Linked DNA regions of Coturnix japonica. The protein of the gene in region 2 interacts with the protein of the main gene of each other region in a pairwise test. Links are inferred from orthologs where the notes say so. Each region holds a gene or a part of one and is shown on either strand. Other genes may lie near its edges.

Region 1 (3,500 bases), on a different chromosome or scaffold from region 2:
ATGGTCAGAGGTGCAGGCAGAACCCGCAGAGAGCAACTAAAAGAACGGCTGCTTCTTATTAATAAATGCTGACCTGTAAAACACTGCTGAAGCACTATTTCCCACAGAGGATTCTGTTTTTTCGATCAAAATAGCATAACAGAAAGCGCAGGTTTCCTGGTGTGCTTAATAACTTTGCAAGTCATTTCATGAGAACTGAAACCTCGTCACATCCTGCAGCAACCCAGAAGAAGAGCCAAACAGCTCAAGAAAGTGCCTACAATTCCCATCACTTTGTGACATTGCTGAACTCCTACTTGTTTTGCAAAGTGACTGAAATATTCAGTATTTTATCACAATTACCATCTTCACAATACTTCAAACCCACCAATACCATTCATTTATTTCTCCATCGATTACATGTTTTGGGAGGGATGCAGCATGGTTCATTTGGGTGACTCCAACAGGGAGGTGTAAAAAGCAGGGTGAGTCAATGCTCTTCCTTCACATATGAAACTGAAGTCCCAGAATAGGATTGAAGGGGTTACAGGGAAAGAGAAAGGGGGAAAAAAGTACACTTCTGCTTGCACCAGATGTACTTTATATACATGTACAGGTAATGTTCCTCAGAGATGGTCATTTTAACATAAGCAGTGACTGTAGTTTAAGCAATAAAGGATACAAGAGAAAACGAAGGAAGAAAACTTAGTACTGCAGACTAATGTAAGTTGTTATAAAAAGAACTGTATTTATACAAGAATGCTATGCAAGGGTAGTACCAAAAGAATGCTAAGGAAACCAGAAACCAGGCAAAACTATTAGTCAGTTCCTTGAGGTGCCACTGGTGTCCTTGCTGCTGAACCTTCTTTCCAAACAACCATTATTTCACTAGTGGTGAGGTCTCAAATGAGGAAGCAGAGATCAGTCAAGTTTATAAATAGGGAACACGACATACTCTGTGCAGCCTCTAATTAGCTTGACAGTGTTTTCATGGAACTGAAGAATCTCTCACCCACAGACACTGAGATAAGGACAGCTCTGAGAGCAGCCATTAAAGTGCTTGAGCTGAAATGGTGCAGCGAGCCCTTTGCATTCCATGTAACTCCTCAATGAAAACATCAGTTAACATACAAAAGTGCTGCCAGAAAACACAGAGCAGTTTTTCACCATCACAGATAAATATAGTAGCAGATCGCCTTGTAGTATCCAAAATGTCTTATATTGAAGTAAACCTTGATGTTCTTCTGAAATTAAACCTTCAGTTTCTGTTACCACATTAGAGCCTTGTGATGTGAATACCCATCTGAAGCTTTTTCAAAGACACCTAAAACAACCTCATGGAAGTTAATGTACTTTGTCCTTGGCACATGCAGGTGTACTTGAATACTGTCTCTCACGCTGCTTCTCTGGATGTTTCTCTAGGTTCCTTCTGGAAATGTTAAGCATCAGCAGAAACACTAGGCACTTCTTTCCCACTGCCTTGCAAGCTATTCATGTTACACTTGAAATCTGCTGCTCAAGTTTTGACTTGCCCAACACGCATCGACATGAATGCTTTATTAGTCACAAATATCGTATCAGTCAATCTAAATTACAGAGCTATATAAAAGAACTACTTCTATATCCGTGCAATGATTGAAAAAGCTGAGCATTGTTCCCTAAGGCATAAAGTTATTTTGAATTGATGCCACCCTTCCCCACACAGTTAAATATGAGCAATAGTTTGAAAGCACTCTTCATGTACTCATACATTTCTGTAGTTCATAGCATCTTCCCCTGAGAAGGTACTACAAGCTGCACAGCCTGTCCAAAAATAACCCAAACCAAAAACTTTGTATGACAATTCTCCATCCTCTTTTAATAACCTGACTCACTGCCAGTTGTAATCTGTGGTTGATACAGTGCCATGCAATCCCTTTATGTAATTCACAGTAGCCTTGCTGCAAGTCTTTCTTATCATTTTATGTGCACCGCTGCAAGAAAATTATGCCCAAAAATGTTTCTATGACCCTTACCAGCAGTGCAGTGGGCTGTAATGATTGCTAGGAATTTCAAATAAACTTAGAAATAACAGAACTGCATCTTCATAGTTAGGCTTTTAACACAAATAGTCAGTGTATCAATTCAGCCTTTTACTTAACGCTATTTGATTTTTCTTTTTAAGACTGTTTTCAACAAAGCTTCTACTAACTTTTATCTTGTAGAAGGTGGTCATACACAGTACTGCTCGTGTTTTGGTTGTGGGAAGTGTGCCCTTTCAATATCATTTAACAAGTCAAATAACAATGGCTGGTCACTAAATGATTATCTGCTCTTACAGTTATAAACCATCCTGAAAATACAGAATGTGGTTTTATACCAGTCTCATAGCTATGGGTGAGCTTTGTAGTACCTGTCCACCTATCAGCTTTTTGTATTTTGGATACTGAATGACCAAAAGGTAGCACTGAAAGGTATCATGTTGCTGAAAAGCCAGAAGCAAGTGTGATATTGATTTACTCAGCTTCAATACAACTCCCTCTCATTTCAGCTTTGAGAAGACCAAAATCATATTTTTATCAGGCTTGTTCTTTTGATTCCTCCTAATTCCAGCAGCTGCAGTGAAATTATACTAGTTATAATATTAACACTGTCTACAGTTGATGGGTATTTGTGTGGGTTTTGTTGTTTGCTGGTATGGTCCTGCTCTTCTTTTAAGAATATGGATGTTTCCTAAACAATATTCACATCAGGAAACATCTTTGTTGTCCAATTTATTTCTGAAATATATTCTTATGTTAAAACGTGTAACAAAACGAGGTACTTATTTTAAATATCTACCAGCATTACCACCAGTAAGTATTCACCTGCCATACTTACTCCTCCTAGAATGGTTTTAACAGCCTCCTCATTGTTAGATACACCCCACAACAAGGTGCAGACAGCTGCACCCATTTCTGTGCAATACTCTGCTTGCTGCAGGAGCTGCTGCTTGGCCTCACGCAGGTGCTGCCGGAGGTCTAGTTTCTCCTGAAATGACACAAAGAAATTTGGGTTGCATTTCAAGTCAGCCCAGATGTTTCTAGACTACAGGATTCAATAAGAAACGCCACAGTCACATATATGGAAGGGTGTGTGTGGGGAGGGAATGGGGGGGTGGGGGCAAATTCACTGCACTGAATATGAACCTTCTCCCCTGAGCTCCATCCAAGTAGTAAACATATCACTTAAGCTGACAGTAACCAGAAGCCTGTCCACAAGGGCAGGCCAAGTGACCCATCGAGACTGAGCGGCACCTAGAGAAGTCTGATAAGAAAGTCTACTCATCCTAAGCAAATAGCTGTGTATCTCAGAGAGAGAAGAGATTTCAGCATCAGAAGTCAGCCTTCCCAGCCACTTCACAAAAGATACCAGGAACATCTTAAAGGAAGGGAGGGTTCTTTTGTTTTTCAAAATGGGCTGCCTTCATTACTATGGGAGAACTGTTGGCTATCCCTTCCTGGTTCTTCCAACTTCTTTCAACTGGCATATTCCTGAAAAGC
Region 2 (3,500 bases):
GAGATTTAGAATTACCGTGACCTGAAGGTATTTGTATTTAAGTTTTAAGATTCAGTAAAGTGGGACATCACAAATCCAAGTCAGTTTCTAGCATTTTCATCTTCCCTTTTTCCAAGACTGACAGAATATACATATACAGGTTGACATTTTGATATCCAAAACAATCTTCACTTTTCTCAGTTTGCAAGTCCTATCGACTAAAATGTAAATTCATCCACAACAAAATATTTTCAGTAAGTGAAACAATAAGCAAAGAAATCCAAAACTAAGCTCAGAAGCTAAGTGGTTTAGAAAGCCTCAGTAATAACTATGTGTGCGTTAGCGTGTCTATCATTTTTTTTATACATTATATATATAGACACATACACACATATATACACACACGTGCGCACATGCGCACAGGCACACACACGTCTGTAACCTGCAGTGAAGATCAATCTATTTTCTAATAAGGAACATAACACATTATTTAAAAATGTGCCTAATTTAACAAAACAGAGAAGAAACTGCTGCTATCAAAATATACAATTTGAATTGCAGACTAGAAGGCTAACAACATTAAAAAAATAGTTTTAAGCAAAACCCCTTTGCTTCTGAATAACAACAGGTATCAACCTGCCAGGAAGCATCCAAACCAGATTTTATAAAAAGTTTCAACTGTGACCCTTCTTCATTTGTAAAGTTATTGACACAACATATAGTGCGAGCTCTGGTCTCCAAACTGGAGTCTCTTTCATTGTTCTCAATCCACACTCCAGGAAATGAACGGTAGCTGAAGGATTCAGAATCTCAAATGAGATTTGTGCTTCACCATGTACCTAAAAAAAAAAAACAAAACCCAACAAACAAGTTGACTACTCTTTTGGTATTAATAGACATTGTGCTCTCAGGAACAATAAACAGACTTTGTTAAAACTCCACTCTTAGGGCATTAGCTAGTTGCTGAATAGATGAAATGCCTTATAATCCATCAAGCTCTATTAAACACAATATCTACCCCATTAGAAGACAGTCAGCTAAAACGTCTGCTTCAAAGAAAATTCATTCTGTCACATGGATTCTAGCATTTGATAACTGTTGCTAAAGATAACCCATTCAAGTTCATTCTAAGAATCTGAATATATAGTTGAGCTGAGACTTTTAAATAAGAAGGCACAGAAAGTTTGATGCTCAGAATCATTTAGACAACTCCCACAGGATTTTTCTTTTTGAAGTCCACTCAATCGTTCAAGCAGTTTGCCGTGCAATCAACATGAAAAGATTAAATGCTCATTAAATGCATGGACTTGTCTCTCCCTTCAATATTTCAACTGCTTAATGATAAAAAGTTTCTCTTCACAACATGAAAAAGATATTACAATGAACTTGGTATTCAAAGAAGGTTCAGAACCAGAGAGAAGCAGGCAGAAACAGCACCACTTTTCAGAGCTGCTGGTGCACTTCCATTCCTCAATTCTCGTGCAAGGCGTTGCTAAAGTAAGCAGAAGGTTCCAAAAATGCAAAGTGAAAACACTACACCTAAACTCAATGCACGTCATATCTTTTCTGACCTTTGTCTTCTACCTGGTGCTGTGGACTCAGAGGCATCAGAGTAAGATTATGCTTTGTGGCTATTATCTTGACAGTAGCTTCTCACCTTTACAAGAAGACTGTAATCTAGTAAGGTAGGGATAGGAAAGAGGAGAACTACAGCTCACAACTGCAGTTCAAATGAAGGGCTGGGGGAACAGCAGCAAACTGCACCATATGTAGGGTGATGTTTTCTGTTCCTTTGCCTCTGCCTAAAAGGATATGGGGAATCACTACTCTAAGTCCATGATCAGTAATCATCCTTCTTTGACATCCATGCATATTACCCTTTGAAGAGGCTTGTTCCTAATTTATACTGGAAATATAGTGGTATGTACGTTAAGAAGTCTAAAAAAATATTTAACACCTAAAGCATTGTTATGCCACTGAAGCTGTATATGGTACTCGTCACCTTAAGTTCATTCTTCCTACTCAACATCACAAAAGCACAAGCATAAGAGATTTTCAACATGAAACGTACCTGTCTAACGTTTCCCAGAAGCGTAGAAATACTGGCCTGTCCAAATGTCTTTTGTGGTAGCTTAGTTCTAACACTGTTACATCCCATTTCTGCACATTTGGATCCAGGCGTACTTCATCATATTTGAGATGAAAAGCTTTAACTACAGGAAACAAGAAAACATTTGACACACAAACAAGAGGACTTTACAGTGCTTAATTATTATTCAAAGAGAATCTCCCCCTACTTCAGAATAAAATAAACAAGTCTTTCTCAAGAAAATCAGCTATTTAATATTGAACTCAATACAGTGGTCAGTGATCTCTGCCTGGCACTAACACCACACCACAGTTCTATGCAAAAGACCTATTTATAGCCAGTTTTATCTTTAATTTATATCTCTTTCTCAGGGCTAATTTTATCTTTCTAGATATATAAATCCCAGGAGAACAGTAGGAAACTCATTGCCAATTCATGAGTATTTTCTTTAGAAAGCCAGGATATTATTTCTGAAGATTCTGGAATCCCCCAAAACCTTTCAAAGAAATCCCACCATAACAAAACCAAAAACAACAACAAAAAAGCAAGCGATTTCTGACACCACTGGAAGGCTTAAGTCAATGCCAGTGTAACCCCTTAATGCCACATGAAGTATGCTGAGAAAGTCAGTAAATGCCAATTTCCTCTGATCTAATGCTAAGCTAATAACAGTAAAACATTATCAGTTCATTTCCTTTTGGGAAGGCTTGTCTCATGCAAATTATGTAAAGCCAAGCATTAGCAAGATGAGTCTTACATTTTTCTTGCCCTTCTTTTTGCTTTCTGGACCAAATCATCATTTTGACATGATTCAGCATAAAGTACTTGAGACTTGTGCAATCCCTTCCTGATAATCAATTAATTGCACTATCTATTTTGACGTCCCAACACCCACAGTGTGCAACTTCTCAAAAACAATCATGCACCTAATCCCACGGAGGACTGAATCTTGGAGGCAGTGTCACACAAAACCTGACTGGACATGTCTCCTCACCATACTGACTGAAAGATAACAGACTGAATTATTGTTTTTTTTTTTCCTTTCTTCTGAATTTTGAGTTTTTTGTTTGTTAAATCTGCAGGTTCTGAAAACAGCACACACTGAAAAAAAGGCCTATTTTCTAAAGCAACTTCACAATTAAAAAATAGCAGAACAGAGGCTTACAGTTCCTTTCATGTTACAGTACACATTGCAAATAGACGAGAGAACTGTGCAGTGTAAGTGCACTGCATATACCAAAGCATACATACATAACAGTGCTAATAGAAAAAACTTCAGATCTACGCAGTGGAAGCATATAATTCACATACTGGAAGTACCTACATCTTATTAGACATTCAAGTTTTTGTCAAGACACCACAGCATACTTGTAAAACTTCCTTACTAAAATACTAGCTGGTTATTCCTCTCTTCAAACACATATGTAATCAC

Evidence for each region. The genes of interacting proteins can lie anywhere in the genome.
Region 1: the proteins of CDC73 (region 2) and HSF2BP interact in binary tests that used the Homo sapiens proteins (3 or more experiments, as listed by UniProt). The link is inferred for Coturnix japonica from reciprocal best matches to the Homo sapiens genes CDC73 and HSF2BP.

What each region holds. Positions count from the first base shown.
Region 1 is NC_029516.1:99,108,087-99,111,586, forward strand, and holds part of HSF2BP (heat shock factor 2-binding protein), read right to left. Parts: intron 2,989-3,500; coding exon 2,839-2,988; intron 1-2,838. UniProt on the Homo sapiens protein: Meiotic recombination factor component of recombination bridges involved in meiotic double-strand break repair.
Region 2 is NC_029523.1:3,289,146-3,292,645, forward strand, and holds part of CDC73 (parafibromin), read right to left. Parts: intron 2,193-3,500; coding exon 2,051-2,192; intron 819-2,050; coding exon 782-818; 3' UTR 1-781.